Saccharomyces cerevisiae S288C: one gene and its partners. Changing the gene in region 1 together with any one later gene gives a genetic interaction. Each region holds a gene or a part of one and is shown on either strand. Other genes may lie near its edges. The genes, in order: CHM7, RBG2, GAL1 and YRB1.

What was found.
Region 2: mutations in CHM7 (region 1) and RBG2 together harm fitness more than expected from each alone (negative genetic interaction), as found in Saccharomyces cerevisiae (one large-scale study listed by BioGRID).
Region 3: mutations in CHM7 (region 1) and GAL1 together harm fitness more than expected from each alone (negative genetic interaction), as found in Saccharomyces cerevisiae (one large-scale study listed by BioGRID).
Region 4: mutations in CHM7 (region 1) and YRB1 together harm fitness more than expected from each alone (negative genetic interaction), as found in Saccharomyces cerevisiae (one large-scale study listed by BioGRID).

What each region holds. Positions count from the first base shown.
Region 1 is NC_001142.9:344,416-349,880, reverse strand, and holds CHM7 (phosphatidic acid-binding protein CHM7), read right to left. Parts: upstream 3,909-5,465; coding exon 2,556-3,908; downstream 1-2,555. Other genes in the region: cullin RTT101, read left to right, coding at 1-301; YJL047C-A (uncharacterized protein), read left to right, coding at 703-837; UBX6 (Ubx6p), read left to right, coding at 1,244-2,434; ATP-dependent RNA helicase MTR4, read right to left, coding at 4,138-5,465.
Region 2 is NC_001139.9:842,271-847,515, forward strand, and holds RBG2 (Rbg2p), read left to right. Parts: upstream 1-1,583; coding exon 1,584-2,690; downstream 2,691-5,245. Other genes in the region: methionine--tRNA ligase MSM1, read right to left, coding at 1-281; transporter YIP1, read right to left, coding at 575-1,321; CBP4 (Cbp4p), read right to left, coding at 3,623-4,135; YGR174W-A (uncharacterized protein), read left to right, coding at 4,385-4,471; ERG1 (squalene monooxygenase), read right to left, coding at 4,663-5,245.
Region 3 is NC_001134.8:276,052-282,193, reverse strand, and holds GAL1 (galactokinase), read right to left. Parts: upstream 3,174-6,142; coding exon 1,587-3,173; downstream 1-1,586. Other genes in the region: FUR4 (uracil permease), read right to left, coding at 1-751; GAL10 (bifunctional UDP-glucose 4-epimerase/aldose 1-epimerase), read left to right, coding at 3,842-5,941. UniProt on the Saccharomyces cerevisiae protein: Galactokinase is a key enzyme in the galactose metabolism where it catalyzes the conversion of alpha-D-galactose to galactose 1-phosphate.
Region 4 is NC_001136.10:450,433-455,561, reverse strand, and holds YRB1 (Ran GTPase-binding protein YRB1), read right to left. Parts: upstream 2,518-5,129; coding exon 1,912-2,517; downstream 1-1,911. Other genes in the region: putative DNA-dependent ATPase RAD57, read right to left, coding at 1-361; YDR003W-A (uncharacterized protein), read right to left, coding at 658-780; RCR2 (Rcr2p), read right to left, coding at 808-1,440; alpha,alpha-trehalase NTH1, read left to right, coding at 3,087-5,129. UniProt on the Saccharomyces cerevisiae protein: Important for the export of protein containing nuclear export signal (NES) out of the nucleus. Stimulates the GTPase activity of GSP1 and GSP2.

The DNA of each region.
Region 1 (5,465 bases):
GAAACTACGTGTGGTTCTACCGAGAACCGCGTCTCTCCAAAGTAGCAACACAGGCGGTGAAAGAACCAGTTCTGCACACCACGAAGGAAGTAATTCCCAATGGACCCAAGAATTACTAAAGGCATGCATAACTAGATCCGTTAAGAGCGAGAGGAATGGGCTAGACTACGACCATTTATTTGAAACGGTAAAGCAGCAGATAAAAGGCTTTAGTGTTGGTGAGTTCAAAGACGCCTTGGCCAAGTTGTTACGAGACAAATTCATAACTAGGGACGAATCAACAGCAACTTACAAGTACTAAGACTGGTGCCATCTTATATATTACCTAACTACTGAGATAGTTTATAATCCGTACCAGCCCTAACTTTTTTTCCGACAGCATTTTATTTCCTTTCGTTTTTTTCGACTTCGTCGCTTTCTCCTCCATATAAAAAAACATCAAGAGATAAAAACTATCTTTCTTGTCCTTGTCCACGTTCAATACAACAGTTACACTGCAAACGACATTAGTGCAAATGCAAACTGTAGTCAATTTGCCGTATGCCTGACATACAACAGGTGTTGTATGAGTGTGACAAGGACACTTTATATATCTTTTTCAATCTCTCTATCCGGCCTTCTTGGCAGGATAGCTTTTCGTTTCAATTTGTTAATGATGATAACCAAAGATGCATAGTTCAACTGATTGAACATACTATCGAAATGAAGATAAAAATTTCCATCGAAATTAGTCTTTCGCTCCTATCTGAACATTACAAAAGAAACGAAAACTGTATTAGTAATATGCTTGTAATTGGAGAAGGGCCGAGGGGCGAGACCATTGTGGAGCGATTTTAAACCTCTTGCAGCACGAATCGTAACGGACCCAGCGCGTACTTTATTCTCCCTGTGCATTCGTGGAAGTTTTGAAACTCTTAAAAGTGGGCTCATCTGTCTGGTATTATCTGTGCCCCTGTTCTACATGTACTCGTGCTTTCTTTATTGCTTCTTTCGGTAACTCATCTTGCACATGCTATTCTTTTCGGAGTTAACGAAGCCAGGAGGAACCTTAATGGATTTACCTCTAGCGCGTCAACCCTAGAAGAGGGACTTTTTCCACATGAATAGTCAACTTTTAAGATTCGTTAGTAGTTGTATAGGGACATATATATGCACATATATATAATTATATACTTATACACTTGCTTACAGGGGACATTTTTGACCCTCAAAGGAAGTGAATTACAGGTATTGAATAACAGAAATGTACGAGATGTCAGGTATAGACAGCCTCTTTCATGATCGAGTTGTTCATGATTACTCTCATACTAGTGAGCAGGTTATCGTCGTTTACATTAGTTCAGCAGCCGGGGACAATTCTTGGCTTCATCAGTGGTTCAAACCAGGAAATCTTAGTGACGAGGAGCGCGAAAACATACTGTGGGTAAGGTTAGTAAATGGTACTAAAGAGTGCTTGCTTTTCAAGAGCATTTTCCCCTCCTCATCGGCGCCAAGCATTAACATATTACAGAACGGTCTACTCGAATGTTCTATCCAAGGTAATAGCCTTTCTCGTGAGCAGGATCCTTGGGAAACCTTTATCAATGGGTTACAATCAGTCTTTAAGGGTCAAGTAACAAAGAGGAAGTTATTTTCCAAGAGCAATGAAGAATATCAAAGAGTCAAAAGAATGATTCAGAACGACAAGTTGGAGAGGAAGTATGTTTTTCAAAATACTAATGACCCGCAAAGAAAGCCACAGAAGTGGAAGCAGTTGACAGTTACTGATAATGTTAGTTACAAGAGTCAAAAGGGGTTTCTCGCCCAGAACTACTGTACTCTACAATTGAAACTGCCCAATGGTTACACAATCTCTAATACTTTCCCTCCTCAAACAAAATTACACAAAGTAAGGATGTGGTTAGACTATAATTGCTACGATGATGGAACACCTTACCTTTTCCACAGAAATATACCAAGAGTGACTCTTACGCGAAATGACGAACTCAAAAGTTTGCAAGAGTTGGATCTGTTGCCCAGATCGACTCTCATCTTAGAACCGCTGGAAGCCAATAACAAAACATTCGACTACATGGAACAATCTTCTCTTCTACACAAGGTTTACTCAGGTTTGACATCTTTTTGGGCGAAAGAACCGGAAGTAGATGCTTCCTCCTCCCGTCTTGGTTACCAGAGGTTGGGCACAAATGTGTCAAACAGCGCCAACTACTCTTTACAAAAATTATCTAGCTTAGACATGGTGTCGGACGGGGGAGGAGGAGGTGGTGGTGATTCAATGACTCCTTCAGCATATACTACCCCAAGGATGTATCCTTCTAATGGTACTTCTCAATTGCGACAAAACGTGTCTGAACTAAACTTGTCTTCCAATAATTCTGCATCTAATACCAAAGTTCGTACATTAGGTTACTCTAATAATAACGGCAACAATTAAATGTGCTTTTGTTTATTTCCTATTTGGTTATTCACACATATTTTCTTTCTTCCGTCTATTAAAATATTCATATTTATTTTTTATTTATACATATATATTTATTTATTAGTCACTCAGTTCGTCAACGTGGTTGTTCTTCCATCATGATTTTTCTTATCTCATTATCGTGGTTTTCATTATCTTGCACAGGTCCTTCATTTGTATTTATCTTCAGATTATTCAATCTCTTTAATAGATCCTCGCTACTGCTTTCTTTTGGCTCGTGCAAATCCTGGTTCTTATTTTCTTCCTTATTATTATTCTTTTCATCAAGTTCTAATTGTTCTAATTCTCTTTCAATTTCTTCTTCTGCTTCTTCGTCTTGACCTTTATTATAATGAGCTAATAAATCATTGACCTCTTCGGTACGGTCATGACCCTCTTTAATCTCATCTAGTAAGTCTTCTACTTTTTCGGTAGAACCAATATATCCATTAATTGACTTAATTACTTCGTTGGATTCACTTAAAGTTTGAATTAAAACCGCATTAGTAGCACTGGTGTCTATTTGAGTTCTTACTTGAGCGAGGTTATTTTGAAACTTTAGTAACCTAGAAAGATGTTTTTCAGATAGTAATCTCGCCTGTTTATATTCAATCCTTATTCTCTTCGGCAGCTCATTAAACTCTGGTCCTCTCAGTTTAATGTTAGATTCATTAATTTCTTTTCTTAGCCTTGTAATTTGTTTGTTGATGTTTATAATACCCACTTTAACACTAGCAATTCGAAGGTCATTTTCTGTGATGCCTTTGGAGAACCTGCTAGTAATGTCTTCTACTTCAGCGGCAATGACTTTGATAACATTGTCTTTTGAAACTATTATGTGCTTATAATTCTCTATAAAGTGCAGGAACACGTTTTTCGTTTCTTCATCATAGGTTGAAAAGAACGACTGCAAACTTTCTGTGGTCACAAATTCATTCCTTGTGAATACTAAATCTGTAATAGATGAAGCCTCCATAAAAACACTTCTTTTGAGTAATTCATGAAACCTTTGATACTCTTTTTCCAAATTTGCTTTGATAATAAATTTGTCTTCTCTCAAGTAGAAATTTGTTTCATCCTTCCGGCTTTTATACATGTTTGTAGACTCCTTCCAACTTCTAACCCACTTCCAAAATCCTTTTCTACTGTTGTCAGTGTACATTCCACCAAGATTGAATAATTCCATAGGTATCAAATTTCCTTCATTAACAAGAACGTCAATTGCTATATCAATGCTTTTCGGTACGCCATAAACTTCATGAGTTAATTCTTGCAAAGTCCTTGTCCCTATAGTAAATATGATTCTGTTGGAGTTGCTGATGTATTGTTGCAAGAAGAAATCCCTCCATGTACTGATGTTTGCTTCGTACCCATCGGGATTTAAATCTTTCAATGGCCTAAAATCTCTATATAAAGATGGTAGTCTGGATTCTGGTAAATCTACTTTCATTCAGATACAGTGAGATACTATTTGGCTGGCTTTGGTGGTGTTTTGCCAGATATAGTTTAAGAATTTAAAACTCCTCTTATTGTCTCTACTAACGCTGCACTTCATTGAGTTGTATGGGTGTATCAATAGTGTGCTTGCCCAAACAAAAATGTTATTATATAATAAATGTTGATGAAATCTATTTGTTTATTATATATACCAATAAAAATACATAATTGTGTGTGATTAACTATAAATACAAAGAACCAGCAGATACGATATCTCTATGAATTAATTTCAAGACAGCTTCCATCTTCTCCTTAAGTGAAGAGTTACCAATGGTATTGGCGACGTCTACCAGCTCCTTCACCAATTCCTCTAATCTCTTGAACATTCTGATCAACGAACCTTCGTAAACGTCGGTCATTTTACAGATTTGCGTAAAAGTAGCTCCTCTACACCATTCGTAAACAACTTCCATTAGTTCATGTCTGAAGCTTTCAACGTAGTCCTTTTCTACAACTTCAATTTTAGAATCCTTCATTATCTTAGCGATCTTTGCTGCAATTTCTCTCATAGCCTTCAAAGGTTCGGCAAGCTCTGGTTTCAATCTAGGCGCTTCTTTACAGCGTTCTTGGAATGCAAAGCATGATAATAATGCTGCTGCTTGTTCCGGTTTCAACTCATTGAAATTACCATTGAAGATCAATTCTGTTAGTAACAGTTCATCACCACTAGATATTTCACATGCAACTCTACCTTTCAGTTCAATAATGTCATTAGGAGTACAAAATCCTAAACGGCGCAAAACTCTTTTACGGCGACGAAGATCGTCCAGTTGGATTACGGCTTGTGATTCTGAAATTTTGCGTTTCAATTGTTTCATATCTTCATGTAAATCGTGTTTTCTACTATATTTACCATATAGTTCTTCTAGTCTCATGGAATTGGTTAAGGGATTGGAGGATAACTTTGTGTTTAAAACGTCAATCTTCTTCATTAGCTTTAAAAAGTCCTCATCTTCGATCTTCATGTTTTTAACAGGATCCAGCACGGGAATACCATCCGGGAACCTCCGATTAACCTCCCTTAAAGACTTCCCAACAGTTTCTTTTTGACCGCTGGCTCTAATATCTTTGGGCATATATAGTCTCAAATTACCAATCGACTTGATTGAATCCAAAGTTATGGGAATAACAGCACATATGCTTTTTTCACCTTCTTCCGCTGGGCGAATCCCTTCTGGTAAGGTAGGGTTGAAAGGTTTCAACAAGTTGACTGGAGAGTCTATATACATGGTATTGACGACCACATTGACAATATAGGATTCATGGTCTGTATAGACAGCACTTGGGTTGCGTTTGTTAATTCTTTTAGCAAAATCGACAACAGCACCCCAGCCATAGTTATCCTTACCATTGACAGAGATTTCAACTAATCTGCCTGGTTGTAGGAAACTTAAGGCGTTTGCCGGATGGGTGACAACTTGACGAACATCTTCACGGTAACCTTTGATAGCCTGCTCAATCTCATGGTATTCTTTAACATTTTCTTCATCTTCGACTTCGATGCCATCAA
Region 2 (5,245 bases), on another chromosome or scaffold:
TTGTCTAATTGAACAAACTCTGGGTATAGCTTATCGACGAACTTTTTTGGCTGATCGAAGCCATTGCTTTCACTAGCACACTGGATTTTCAATCCATGTTCATCAGTACCTGTGGTAAAGAAGGATAGATTACCTTTAAATAATTGCCATCGATGGTAAACGTCACTTAATAAGCTGGAGTAAAGATGGCCGAGGTGCGGTTTGGCATTGGGATAGAAAATTGGCGTCGTTACGTGGGAGACCTTAGAGTACAGACGATGCACAATTGATCGACATTGCATGTTTTCTTTCGATCAAAACCTATGCTTTCCTTATTTACCTCTGGAGAATAGTAACATTAAAATTTACATTCTTTTTTCACAGTTGTGCGGATTTATTTGTTTGAAACCACCATTGGACTACGTTTTAGTTTTTAAAGAAAGAGAAGGCACTTCGTAATCCAATGTTGCCTAGTACTGGTATTGCTTGCACTATACAAGGAAGTAAGTGTGATTATGTAATGCTGTATACACTCTTTATTCAAACATAGTTCAGAAAAACATATATACAAATATCGCCCCTAAGCCAATTCCCTTCAGACAAAAATTACCATGAGGGCAAAAACACTGTAGAAAATCAACAGTGGGTAGGCAATTAGCAATCTTGCATTTTGCAATTGGAGCAAAGAATTTAAAAATCCAGACGAGGTCCAAGTACTCCAAATTACAAATAGTACTGATACAACATAACCTGTAGTGTTGTTCAAACCATGGAAAATGCCCAGTAAAGAAAGGAAACACAGAGGCAAAAAGCAGTATCCTAAGATGGACGCTGTATTGAAAAATTGTAGGTTCGTTTGAGTGGAAGTATCGTTATTGCTCATTAATTTCGATAGATTGTGCAAAGAAATGGTACCAAACAAAGCGACACCATAGATATATCCAAAATGAACCTTTCCAGCCATCAATAGAAAAAGTCCGAATAACAAAAAGAATATCAAAGGCCCAGCCAAATCTGAATCGTTTAGAATTTCTTGTGGCACACCACTACCAAAACGTATTGGTATAAGAACCATTTTAGTTTTCGTTATGATATGATCGAAATTTATTCCAATTTCCTCCAGTAATGGAGGTTCATGTGGATATCCCTTAGTTGAAAGAGCATGTAAAATACCTACAGGCAAAGGGTCGGGGGCAACACCCAAATTGTTATCGTTGCCAGTATTAGAAGAACCGACGGTATTTTGAAAACTCATTGACCCTTGGGGAACGGCAAATTGTGCAGAAGGCTGATAAAAGCCACCGCCATTATTAGCATTGTTACTAGTATTGTAGAAAGACATCTCGAGAGGGACTAATAGTTGTCTTGCAGTACTTCCCGTCCAATTTGTAGCTGTTATAAGATGACTTGGTTCGTGTCACGTAGTTACCTCACTCAAATAGCAAAATAATCAATGGTTACCCGAAGTGAAAATTTTCGTGATAATAGCGATGAGATTTAAACCCAGTTATAAAAGTCGTACAATATTGAAGCTGTTGATATTGGAATTGAACAAGTACTAACGAGATACGCATTATCAAAACTAACGTAACAAGCACTACAAAATGGGTATTATCGACAAAATCAAAGCCATCGAAGAAGAAATGGCCAGAACCCAAAAAAATAAGGCCACAGAACATCATCTGGGTCTTTTGAAGGGGAAATTGGCTAGATACAGACAACAACTGCTAGCTGATGAAGCTGGTAGTGGTGGTGGAGGAGGGTCTGGTTTTGAAGTGGCAAAATCAGGTGACGCTAGAGTAGTTTTAATAGGTTACCCCTCCGTCGGTAAGTCCTCCTTATTGGGTAAAATTACCACCACCAAGTCTGAGATCGCTCATTATGCTTTCACGACATTGACATCCGTTCCTGGTGTATTGAAGTACCAAGGTGCAGAAATCCAAATTGTGGATCTTCCAGGTATTATTTATGGTGCTTCGCAGGGTAAAGGTCGTGGTAGGCAAGTTGTTGCAACAGCAAGGACCGCAGATCTAGTATTAATGGTTTTAGATGCCACAAAGAGTGAACATCAAAGAGCATCTTTGGAGAAGGAGCTGGAAAATGTAGGCATCAGGCTTAATAAAGAGAAACCAAATATTTACTATAAGAAAAAAGAAACTGGTGGCGTGAAAGTTACGTTTACCTCCCCTCCAAAGACCAATTTAACCGAACAGGCAATCAAAATGATCTTGAGAGATTATCGTATCCATAATGCAGAAGTTCTGGTAAGAGATGACCAATGTACGATTGATGATTTTATCGATGTTATTAACGAACAACATAGAAATTATGTCAAATGTCTTTATGTGTATAATAAGATAGATGCAGTATCATTAGAAGAGGTGGATAAACTTGCCAGAGAGCCAAACACCGTTGTTATGTCCTGTGAAATGGATTTGGGATTACAAGACGTCGTTGAAGAAATTTGGTACCAGCTGAACTTGAGTCGTGTGTATACAAAGAAGAGAGGTGTTAGACCAGTATTTGATGATCCTCTAGTGGTAAGAAATAATTCCACTATTGGTGACTTATGTCATGGTATCCACAGGGATTTCAAAGATAAGTTCAAATACGCATTGGTTTGGGGTTCTTCTGCCAAACATTCTCCTCAGAAGTGCGGCTTAAACCACAGGATTGATGATGAAGATGTAGTTTCTTTATTCGCGAAATAGTATAAATGAATAGATTTTAAAGAAACATGAAAAAACAAGATCAGCATCGAGAACTGTAGTACGGAGCAGAGATTTTGCATGACTAAACGGACTCATTTTCCTTGTAGTAGAAATAAATGCTGAAAATAGGTTTTTTAGTGAGAACCGGAAGGTGTTACTTTCATGGTATATTCGTATATACTTTTATAATGTAATTTGAAGAGCTCCGTTCATAAAAATTGTCATTCTGGGCTTCAAATGAATAAATAAACCCGAATGACAATGAAATCTCGAAATTATAATAGTGGTACCTAGTGTAGTAAGTATAAAGGAACCTTCTCTGTTGTATCTCAGAATGGGATACCTCAGTATGACAATACATCATCCTAAACGTTCATAAAACACATATGAAACAACCTTACAGCAAAACGAACAGAATGAGCAACATGAAAATAAAACTCTGCCTTCCTTAGCTAACCTACTCTAACGTATAAGTATCTGAACAATTGGTTTAGATCCAAGATTCCGCGCTTCCACCATTTAGTATGATCCATATTTTATATAATATATAGGATAAGTAAGATCCCGTGAATCAAGCTGATAAACCGTTTTGACAACTGGTTACTTCCCTAAGACTGTTTATATTAGGATTGTCAAGAACCTTGACATTACCCCATTGCATGATGCAATAATCTCATATAAATAACAAGCGCAAGTGGTTTAGTGGTAAAATCCAACGTTGCCATCGTTGGGCCCCCGGTTCGATTCCGGGCTTGCGCAATGTTTTTTCCATCCCCAAGTATGGGAACTAAAATAGCTAAAAATAAGTATGAAGTTATATTTTTAAACCTATTTACAGTGTACAAATAAATAATATATCATAAATGACACAGACGTATGTTTTAGGATGCAAAAGTTCAAGCTGCCCTTCCTAATTGAGTGACCCGACCCATCTACCAGAAGCGCCACCAGCTTTTAACCTGCTTATCCTGGACTATTTCCTTTGTTTTCTCCTCCGTTTCAGATCTTAGCTGAGACAGTTCATTTCTGATCCTAGCCAACTCTTCTTTTTGCACCTCCTCCGCCCTCACCTTAGCAAAGTGATCTCTGCTTTGAACGTTATCACCGTTCCTTTCCCAAGGTGATTGAAGGGGGCCCGTCTTCCAAATTGGATCGTCACTTTGAGAAGTTTCCTTAACAATTTTCATCAAAGCCTGCTGCTCCGACTGACGTAGTTTTTTCTCCCTCTCATATTGTAAACGTAATTCTGGGGAAAGCTGGCTGATTAACTGTTGATCTGTTGGCGTTGTGTACTTGAAAAGCAGAAACCCGCTTCCAATAATAGCGCCACCAATTGCATAGACTTTCAACCAACGTACCCACAATGGTCTTTCCATACCCAAATAATGCTTATACTGTCTTTGTTTTGCTATTACTGCCTCTCTAGGAGTTATCGCGCACTGCATGTATATAAAATTTTATCTTGATAAAATACCCCGGGGGATGAGCAAAAAAAGGGATATGGGGAATGAAAAGTGAGATAAACTAGCAATAATCTATTCTAATAAGTAGAACATTCACAAAGACTACTATGGTGTAATTCTGAAAGGATTTACGAGAGCACAAATACTATTATGTATAATTCTGACTGCAGAATCCGGCAAGCTTGATTTAATATCACTTAAGGAAGTAATATCGTTAATTGATAACCGAATATGAATCTCAATGCATATTTTGAAGCATATCAAGCCATTTTTCCTTTTCTGTTGGAGGCATTTTTAAGGAAAGAACAAAAAGTATAAAACACTTCGGTTAATAATAAATGATATGTGAATTTTTTTGAAAATATGTAAAATAAATAAGTAATAAATAAAAATAAGATGTGTTTATCGTAATGTACTATACAAGCCTTCCAAGCCGACTTCTGTAATAAAAAAAAAAGGTGCAGCTTAATGTTTGACGGTTCCTATCCTCTCTCCCTTATAAGCTGTAGTTAACCAATCAACTCACCAAACAAAAATGGGGTGAATACTCTAATAGCTGTGATCAAAATCATAATACCTTCCAATAAAGCCATTGGTAATCCCAAGAAACCACGTTCTTCCATGTTCAAGTAAATGGTGTAAAAAGCGACAGCGAAGAAAACCCTGGTCAATTGCAAAGGCTTTGGCAAGACACCAGACAGAAATTCAACGGGTTTGTTGACACAATCGCCACCTCTTTGGAAATATTTGAAACAACCTTTTTGTAATGCCTTCAAGTTATCGCTGTCAGCAGCGAACAAAGAATACAAAGCCACTGACAAAACGTTAATAACGGAATCGTAACTCTTTCTTTCGAAATGGTAGTCTAGTAATTCATCCAAAACCTTTTCACGGTCGCTGAAGTCTAGGTCACCTATTTTCTTAATCAACAAGACAACATCATGCAAACCGACAGTCATACCACCACCAGTCAATGGATGTCTCATATTTAGAGCGTCACCGATAACACACATACCAGTGACGTCGTTTTGTCTAGCTGGCAAGTAGGAGTTTGGCATAGCTCTAAATTTACCTTGGCTGACGGCTTCATCA
Region 3 (6,142 bases), on another chromosome or scaffold:
AAAAGATAAAAAAACACATGAACTCGTAAGTAGTAGCATTCGGTGATCCAAAGTGATCTGGGATTTTGTCTTGTAAATCTTTTCCAAAGATAGATTTCAGCATTAATGATACGGGAGTTGCCGCAATATAAGCTTGGACACTATACCAAACGATGGCCATGACGACTCTGTTAATAACGGGCCATAAAGAGAAGAAAATACCGAATGATGCTCTAGATGATATAGGGAATGACAAATGATAAGCAGATCCAACTCTAGAGGCCAAAACAACAAAAGCACCAACGAAACCGTACCCAATCCAAATTGTTATCCAACACTGCCACCAATTTAGACCCAGTTGTAGACCTGTAGCTGCAATTTGCCAAGTGTTGATATTGAAACATTCAGCAAGCCAGAAGTAACAATAATTGTACCAGGACCAAACCCGCCTTTCTTTTTCGACGGGCTTCAAGTCCTGGTTGTACATAAATGAATCCAGAATAGAAACACCCAAGATTGATTTGTCAACGACCACATATTCATAATAGATTTTCTTCCAGAATGAGCTGTATTGAGGTTTTTCTGAGCTTACTTTTTCTTCAAAGCTCGATGCCTCATAAACTTCGGTAGTTATATTACTCTGAGATGACTTATACTCTTTTTCCAAATCCACATTATTTGGCGCAAAGGTCTCATTGGAAGATTCCATAAGTTGGCGAGAGTTCAATCTTTTTGAAGAGCCGCTTAAATGTAATGATAGATTGTCTGGCATTATTCCCTCCTATTCTTATTATGCGTAGGAATGTCTTCGAACCGAAAGATCTTCTCTATGGGGTATGCTTTAGAGTGAAATTAAGAAAGGAGTTTTATACAGATGATACCTAATCATCATATAAGTAAGAGAGAACAGAGATTTAATGGAAAATGGAAAAGGGCAAATTGGCGCTGAATCAAATAGTTTATTATATCTTTACAATTTGTCCTGATTTTGTCCTTGTCTAACTTGAAAATTTTTCATTCTGATGTCATACGACTTTTTTCCGGTCTAGGAAATCGGTGAAAGCTTTTTTTTTTTCCTATCTTCTTGTCCATCGGAATTTTTCTGTCATTTCTTTTCCTCCTCGCGCTTGTCTACTAAAATCTGAATTGTCCAAATTCAGTACAAAATTAATCAGTAGGACAAAGGGTTCTCGTAGAGTCCCCGGAAAAAAAAAAGGACAAAAAGTTTCAAGACGGCAATCTCTTTTTACTGCATCTCGTCAGTTGGCAACTTGCCAAGAACTTCGCAAATGACTTTGACATATGATAAGACGTCAACTGCCCCACGTACAATAACAAAATGGTAGTCATATCATGTCAAGAATAGGTATCCAAAACGCAGCGGTTGAAAGCATATCAAGAATTTTGTCCCTGTGTTTTAAAGTTTGTGGATAATCGAAATCTCTTACATTGAAAACATTATCATACAATCATTTATTAAGTAGTTGAAGCATGTATGAACTATAAAAGTGTTACTACTCGTTATTATTGCGTATTTTGTGATGCTAAAGTTATGAGTAGAAAAAAATGAGAAGTTGTTCTGAACAAAGTAAAAAAAAGAAGTATACTTATAATTCATATAGACAGCTGCCCAATGCTGGTTTAGAGACGATGATAGCATTTTCTAGCTCAGCATCAGTGATCTTAGGGTACTTGACCTTGTAGAACTCATTGGCAAGGGCTTCTTTTACCTTTTCTATGTTGCCATTTGGGCCCCCTGGAACCAAGTGAACAGTACAACCACCCCAGCCAGCTCCGGTCAAACGGGAACCATATGATCCATTTGACAAAGCAATGGAACAAATTTTGTCAATCTCTGGACAAGAACATTCGTAAAGTTTATCGCAAGAAGCTTGAGACTCGTTCATCAAGGCACCAAATTGCTTGAAAAAGTCTTCGTCGGCAGTAAAGCTCGCTGTAGTCATTAATTTCACAGCCTTCAAGACTCTTAAAGATTCAGAATACACATGCTTAGCCCTCTGATATAGCTTTAAGACTTGAAATCTCACTGGAGATGTTGTTAAGTAGTCTCTTGTGAATTCTTCGCGAGAACAATTCAAGGATTGTGCGACATCGTCAACACTAAAGCCCTGTTTCTTATTGGCGAGAGACTCTTCAACTAGTACTAGCATCTTTGTTAACCGTTCGATGCCGGATTCAATATCGCCGTTCCAGGGTGTGGAAATGTTGTGATATCTGGCATAATAAACGTTCATGAAATCTCTTAGATTACCTTTATTCGTGCTCGATCCTTCTTTTCCAGAAAGTAAAACAACACCGTACGTGGCAGCTAAAACATTTGCAGCTGTAGTGACTTCTACCACTCTTAAATTATAGTTGGTTGGGGCGGTTTCAAACTTGTTAGATACAACAAGGGTGTTCGCAATAACAAAGCTAATTTCATGGTTTTTTAATTGCGGAAATTTAAACGGAGTAGCCTTCAACTGCGGTTTGAACTCAACGTATAGAGCATGATCTTCCTCACCGCAAACAGAGGCAGCCTGATCCATACCGCCATTGTTAACACCAACATAATGTTCTGCAACGACCGTAATACGCATTAAATTTTGCTTGGACATATGATAACCAGGGCCCATATTCGCTTTAACAACAGCTAAAGCAACGGCACAAATGAATGCGGCCGAAGAAGACAATCCACTGCCAGTTGGTACATCACCCTCACAGAAGACTTGCAGCCCGGCCAGAGGAGCACTGGCAAACCTTTCCGGTGCAAGTTTCTTTAGAAAAGAGTGAGCAACATGGAGACCACATTTAAAGTAATTAGACCAGTCCGACACAGAAGGATCAATTGTGACATAAGAACCGTCCAACGGCAAATCGAACTTCCTTTGAGCAAATTTGGGATCAGCATTTATTAAGGTAATGGATGGATTTTTCTCGTTCAAAACTTTGACGGCGCAAAGCATATCAAAATCAATAGCTAAAGGTAAAACCGAGAAGTCACAATAATCAATATGTTCACCAATTAGATTGACTCTACCAGGCGATCTAGCAACAAAATCCGGTTTAGCATCATAAGCGCTTATAAATTTCTTAATTATGCTCGGGCACTTTTCGGCCAATGGTCTTGGTAATTCCTTTGCGCTAGAATTGAACTCAGGTACAATCACTTCTTCTGAATGAGATTTAGTCATTATAGTTTTTTCTCCTTGACGTTAAAGTATAGAGGTATATTAACAATTTTTTGTTGATACTTTTATGACATTTGAATAAGAAGTAATACAAACTGAAAATGTTGAAAGTATTAGTTAAAGTGGTTATGCAGCTTTTCCATTTATATATCTGTTAATAGATCAAAAATCATCGCTTCGCTGATTAATTACCCCAGAAATAAGGCTAAAAAACTAATCGCATTATCATCCTATGGTTGTTAATTTGATTCGTTAATTTGAAGGTTTGTGGGGCCAGGTTACTGCCAATTTTTCCTCTTCATAACCATAAAAGCTAGTATTGTAGAATCTTTATTGTTCGGAGCAGTGCGGCGCGAGGCACATCTGCGTTTCAGGAACGCGACCGGTGAAGACGAGGACGCACGGAGGAGAGTCTTCCGTCGGAGGGCTGTCGCCCGCTCGGCGGCTTCTAATCCGTACTTCAATATAGCAATGAGCAGTTAAGCGTATTACTGAAAGTTCCAAAGAGAAGGTTTTTTTAGGCTAAGATAATGGGGCTCTTTACATTTCCACAACATATAAGTAAGATTAGATATGGATATGTATATGGTGGTAATGCCATGTAATATGATTATTAAACTTCTTTGCGTCCATCCAAAAAAAAAGTAAGAATTTTTGAAAATTCAATATAAATGACAGCTCAGTTACAAAGTGAAAGTACTTCTAAAATTGTTTTGGTTACAGGTGGTGCTGGATACATTGGTTCACACACTGTGGTAGAGCTAATTGAGAATGGATATGACTGTGTTGTTGCTGATAACCTGTCGAATTCAACTTATGATTCTGTAGCCAGGTTAGAGGTCTTGACCAAGCATCACATTCCCTTCTATGAGGTTGATTTGTGTGACCGAAAAGGTCTGGAAAAGGTTTTCAAAGAATATAAAATTGATTCGGTAATTCACTTTGCTGGTTTAAAGGCTGTAGGTGAATCTACACAAATCCCGCTGAGATACTATCACAATAACATTTTGGGAACTGTCGTTTTATTAGAGTTAATGCAACAATACAACGTTTCCAAATTTGTTTTTTCATCTTCTGCTACTGTCTATGGTGATGCTACGAGATTCCCAAATATGATTCCTATCCCAGAAGAATGTCCCTTAGGGCCTACTAATCCGTATGGTCATACGAAATACGCCATTGAGAATATCTTGAATGATCTTTACAATAGCGACAAAAAAAGTTGGAAGTTTGCTATCTTGCGTTATTTTAACCCAATTGGCGCACATCCCTCTGGATTAATCGGAGAAGATCCGCTAGGTATACCAAACAATTTGTTGCCATATATGGCTCAAGTAGCTGTTGGTAGGCGCGAGAAGCTTTACATCTTCGGAGACGATTATGATTCCAGAGATGGTACCCCGATCAGGGATTATATCCACGTAGTTGATCTAGCAAAAGGTCATATTGCAGCCCTGCAATACCTAGAGGCCTACAATGAAAATGAAGGTTTGTGTCGTGAGTGGAACTTGGGTTCCGGTAAAGGTTCTACAGTTTTTGAAGTTTATCATGCATTCTGCAAAGCTTCTGGTATTGATCTTCCATACAAAGTTACGGGCAGAAGAGCAGGTGATGTTTTGAACTTGACGGCTAAACCAGATAGGGCCAAACGCGAACTGAAATGGCAGACCGAGTTGCAGGTTGAAGACTCCTGCAAGGATTTATGGAAATGGACTACTGAGAATCCTTTTGGTTACCAGTTAAGGGGTGTCGAGGCCAGATTTTCCGCTGAAGATATGCGTTATGACGCAAGATTTGTGACTATTGGTGCCGGCACCAGATTTCAAGCCACGTTTGCCAATTTGGGCGCCAGCATTGTTGACCTGAAAGTGAACGGACAATCAGTTGTTCTTGGCTATGAAAATGAGGAAGGGTATTTGAATCCTGATAGTGCTTATATAGGCGCCACGATCGGCAGGTATGCTAATCGTATTTCGAAGGGTAAGTTTAGTTTATGCAACAAAGACTATCAGTTAACCGTTAATAACGGCGTTAATGCGAATCATAGTAGTATCGGTTCTTTCCACAGAAAAAGATTTTTGGGACCCATCATTCAAAATCCTTCAAAGGATGTTTTTACCGCCGAGTACATGCTGATAGATAATGAGAAGGACACCGAATTTCCAGGTGATCTATTGGTAACCATACAGTATACTGTGAACGTTGCCCAAAAAAGTTTGGAAATGGTATATAAAGGTAAATTGACTGCTGGTGAAGCGACGCCAATAAATTTAACAAATCATAGTTATTTCAATCTGAACAAGCCATATGGAGACACTATTGAGGGTACGGAGATTATGGTGCGTTCAAAAAAATCTGTTGATGTCGACAAAAACATGATTCCTACGGGTAATATCGTCGATAGAGAAATTGCTACCTTTAACTCTACAAAGCCAACGGTCTTAGGCCCCAAAAATCCCCAGTTTGATTGTTGTTTTGTGGTGGATGAAAATGCTAAGCCAAGTCAAATCAATACTCTAAACAATGAATTGACGCTTATTGTCAAGGCTTTTCATCCCGATTCCAATATTACATTAGAAGTTTTAAGTACAGAGCCAACTTATCAATTTTATACCGGTGATTTCTTGTCTGCTGGTTACGAAGCAAGACAAGGTTTTGCAATTGAGCCTGGTAGATACATTGATGCTATCAATCAAGAGAACTGGAAAGATTGTGTAACCTTGAAAAACGGTGAAACTTACGGGTCCAAGATTGTCTACAGATTTTCCTGATTTGCCAGCTTACTATCCTTCTTGAAAATATGCACTCTATATCTTTTAGTTCTTAATTGCAACACATAGATTTGCTGTATAACGAATTTTATGCTATTTTTTAAATTTGGAGTTCAGTGATAAAAGTGTCACAGCGAATTTCCTCACATGTAGGGACCGAATTGTTTACAAGTTCTCTGTACCACCATGGAGACATCAAAA
Region 4 (5,129 bases), on another chromosome or scaffold:
TAATGCCATGCGTGAATATGCCTCCACCTAATAATTCATCCATAGCTACATCAGCAGTCGTGAAACACTCAGGACCGTTATCTGGGCTGATAGAGTTTTTTTCACAGATTTCTAAGTACTTTTCATTATATTCATGAACAAGCAATTGCTGAAATCTGAAAACCTCATTTATCGACCTTTGTATTAGCCTTGCCAATTCCTTCGGAGTGAGTGTTAAAAAATCTACGACGCAGACACCATTTTGCCTTACTGCATCCAAAAGATATGAAAATTCTTCATCATAAAGGAGTTTACTTTCCGGTAATTCATCGTAAAGGTCCATATACGTATTGTCAAATTTTATTGATAAGGCCCTAGGCATGAATTTACACACTTTGAAAAATGGTGAATTCCCAGTGGTTGTTCATCATTTTCATTTTTTGAATTCAACGCGAAAAAGCCGAAGATTAACCGGCATCTGAATTCTCATGTTACTTAGAGGATAATGTGTGAGAAGAAATAGGTAAAGGAAGAATATATTTATAATATATAGGCAATTAGACTAATCAAAATCACCGTCCGTATAAATCGTTGAATGGCTTTTCCGTGGACCGAGTCGAAAGCGTTCCGATGAATTGACTGTTCTGGACGTCGATACTACCAGCTCTCAAACCTAAATCAATAGTATGTTCCTACTATAATACACAACTCGGAATAATCGCGACTTTCAAAGAAACGAAAACTTCTGTACTTCTTTTTTTTTTCAGCACTCTTATAACTATTTTCTATACCGCAAGTCATGCGATAATAAATTCATTAAACGAAAAATCACTTACTCACTTTCGCTCTTGCCGGCGCGTTATTAACATCAAAGGAAGAAGATTCAACAGTCGGAGAATGCTGCTCGTTGCGATTACTCTGACCATTAACGAAATTATTCATAGTGGGTCTTAGCAGATTGAAGTCGAATTCACTTTCACTAGGAATTCGTACGACGGCAGCCACTGGGCGCTGTAAGTCTTTATCAGTCGAGCTAGCTTGTTCTTCTGATAAAGGCGGTGGCGCTAAATATTCCGTTTTGCCATTAGGATGAAACTCTCCTCGTTCGTCGTAAAACCCCAAATCATTCTCATTTGCTGTCTCTGTATATTCAGGAACATAGTCTTCAACGCAACGCTGTGTGCCATTGTAATCTCTCTCGGACTGCCTGTAGGTAGGCGGGGTTAACCAAGCGGTTCCCCTAATCGGAGCTTGACCCATAATTCTTCTTCTCCTATTCACTTTTGCAGTTGAAAACAGAAGTATAAGGAGTGCAACTATGAAAAAAATAAAAAAAATCCATCTTCCCCATCTCCATGAGGAAGAGCTAAATGGATCATCATCTGTAATCGCTTCACCATTGTTATTATTATCATCCTGTCTTTTATGTATTAGGAAGTCGATCTGCTCCCGTAAAATCATTTCAAAACTATACTCTCTGTTTAGCTAAATTTCCTTCAGCTTTCTAGCGAGCTAAGGAATGTATTCCAAATTTACTGCTCCTTTATTACGTCAAAAATTTCTATAGTATTCGATTCTCATTAGTAATTATAAAGGAGTAGCGAGAAAAACAAAAATAAAAGGGCGGAAACATAAAGATGGTAAATAAGACAGAGAATATTACCCGGAAACATACTACGAGATTATTGAGCTAATCTCCATGCACCAAAGTGGTTAGACATTTGGCTACATTGACTACTGCAACAATTACTTGAACCCTCTAATCCTTCTTACATATCTATTCATATGTGATTTCACAATGCTACATAAGCGTTTTTTATATAATTAAAGAGCAACTTTTCCTCACAGTAGATAAAAATATATATGCACGCTGTAAAGGAAAATTACATTAGGAACAAAAAAATCTAGACGCAAGTAACAAGCACATCGAAACTAAGCCTTTTTGTTGATTTCTTGAGCTTTTTCAAATTCTTCTTTAAATTTATCAGCATTTTCCTTACTGCCAAATCTGATAGCAAAAGTGAAGGCTTCTGCTTCACCTTCTGCAATATCTGCTGTACAAGCATACACCCAAGATCTATCAGAACCAACGTTAGGCTTCAAAGTGTATTCTGGAGCAATGATGTGGTTAGCACAAATCTTTAAGGTCTTGTCTCTTCTCATCAATATTCTAACCTTGTTAGTCTTTTTGTTCTTCAAGAACTTACAGTCACCAGTACCTCTTTCTTTCCATTCCTTGGCATCGGCATCGAATCTGAAAAGCTTGGCTCTGACCTTGTAAAGAACTTCTTCGTCTTCTTCCATTGTCTTAACATCTACCTTTTCCAGGTGAACCACTGGTTCAAAATGGATATCTGGTGATTCTGGAGCATCATCACCTTCCTTCTTGGTTTCCTCCTTGGTATCTTCTTCGTCTTTCTTGGTTTCTGGCTTTTCGGCCTTCTTACCACCAAACATGGAGAAGACAGCAGAGGATGGTGGCTTTGGAGCAGCCTCTTCCTTCTTGTCGACGACAGGTTTCTTATCTTCGCTAGACATTCTTTTTCTATAGTTGTGTTTATCTTCTTGCTTTTATTTCAAATTAAACAAGATCTTTCTTCTTTCTCCAATTGAATATCAATTTCATCATCAGATTTTAGTTTCTGTTTTATTTTTTATTTTTTTATTTTTTTTTTGTTTCTTGTTTTCCGCGTACTTCCCGCTGGGCGAAAAAAGAAATGAAAAAAAGAAACGACAGGAGCATCGTGTAGGACGAAGCCCCTTATCCCCTAGTTACCGAAGAAGGCCACCAATCTTAAGTTTGATAGAGCAGTACTTATATAAGGCTATATATAGACTGGTTCACAAGGTTATCAATATGAAACTTGCGCGATCACCGATTTACGGGATTTTTCAGGAGCGAGGTACAAGATTTGTTGGCCTGAAAAGATCGCAAAACATTAGCTAGAAATTTTCCCCCTATCGTTTTCCGTAGAGTAAATATAATATCAAGAAGATAGTTTTATATTGACTGATTTCACAACCAACTGCATAGATATAAGGAGATTACTAGATACAAGAACGCCTGATAAACAAAAAAAGAAAAATTAACAAAAAAAATCAGTAGAATGAGTCAAGTTAATACAAGCCAAGGACCGGTAGCCCAAGGCCGTCAAAGAAGATTATCATCACTAAGTGAATTCAATGATCCATTTTCGAACGCAGAAGTCTACTATGGCCCCCCAACAGACCCAAGAAAGCAGAAGCAGGCAAAGCCCGCTAAGATCAACCGTACGAGGACTATGAGTGTTTTCGATAATGTATCTCCTTTCAAGAAAACTGGTTTTGGTAAACTTCAACAGACTAGACGTGGTTCTGAGGATGACACCTATTCAAGTAGTCAAGGTAATCGTCGTTTCTTTATCGAAGATGTCGATAAAACACTTAATGAACTACTGGCTGCTGAGGATACCGATAAAAATTATCAGATCACCATCGAGGATACCGGTCCAAAAGTTTTGAAAGTCGGTACCGCAAACTCCTATGGCTATAAGCATATTAATATTAGGGGTACGTATATGTTATCCAATTTGTTGCAGGAACTAACTATTGCGAAAAGTTTTGGTAGACACCAAATTTTCTTAGATGAAGCTCGTATAAACGAAAATCCCGTCAACAGATTATCAAGATTGATAAACACACAGTTCTGGAACTCTTTGACCAGGAGAGTTGATCTGAACAACGTAGGCGAAATTGCAAAAGATACCAAGATTGATACGCCGGGGGCAAAAAATCCAAGAATCTATGTTCCTTATGATTGTCCAGAACAATACGAATTTTATGTTCAAGCTTCTCAAATGCATCCATCTTTGAAATTAGAAGTTGAATATTTACCAAAAAAAATAACGGCAGAATACGTCAAATCCGTCAATGATACCCCCGGTTTACTAGCATTGGCTATGGAAGAGCACTTCAATCCTTCTACTGGTGAAAAAACTCTCATTGGTTACCCTTATGCTGTTCCTGGTGGTAGATTCAATGAATTATATGGTTGGGACTCCTATATGATGGCACTAGGTCTCCTAGAAGCCAACAAGACTGATGTTGCAAGAGGTATGGTGGAGCATTTTATTTTTGAGATTAATCACTATGGAAAAATATTGAATGCTAACAGAAGCTACTATCTATGTAGATCACAGCCCCCATTCTTGACTGAAATGGCCTTGGTAGTATTCAAAAAACTTGGTGGTAGGAGTAATCCCGATGCTGTGGATTTGTTGAAAAGAGCTTTCCAAGCAAGCATAAAAGAGTACAAAACTGTTTGGACCGCATCTCCAAGGCTTGATCCCGAAACAGGCTTATCCAGGTACCATCCTAACGGTCTCGGTATTCCTCCGGAAACTGAAAGTGATCACTTCGATACCGTTTTACTACCATATGCATCGAAACACGGCGTTACCTTAGACGAATTTAAGCAACTTTATAACGATGGTAAGATAAAGGAGCCTAAATTGGATGAGTTTTTTCTTCATGACCGTGGCGTTAGAGAATCTGGACACGACACTACATATAGGTTTGAGGGCGTATGTGCCTACCTGGCCACTATTGACCTGAATTCTCTTCTTTACAAATACGAGATTGATATTGCAGACTTCATAAAGGAATTCTGCGACGACAAATATGAAGATCCTTTAGACCATTCTATAACAACTTCAGCTATGTGGAAAGAAATGGCCAAAATCAGACAAGAAAAGATTACCAAATATATGTGGGATGACGAGTCGGGGTTTTTCTTTGACTACAACACAAAAATCAAGCACAGAACGTCATACGAATCCGCAACTACATTCTGGGCATTATGGGCTGGACTTGCCACGAAGGAGCAAGCACAGAAAATGGTGGAGAAAGCACTACCCAAGTTAGAGATGCTTGGAGGTTTAGCTGCATGTACGGAGCGTTCTCGAGGCCCAATTTCTATTTCGAGACCAATTAGACAATGGGACTATCCATTTGGTTGGGCACCCCATCAAATTCTTGCTTGGGAAGGCCTCCGTTCTTATGGTTATTTAACTGTAACGAATAGGCTAGCTTATAGATGGCTTTTCATGATGACAAAGGCTTTTGTCGATTATAATGGTATTGTGGTTGAAAAATATGATGTCACAAGAGGA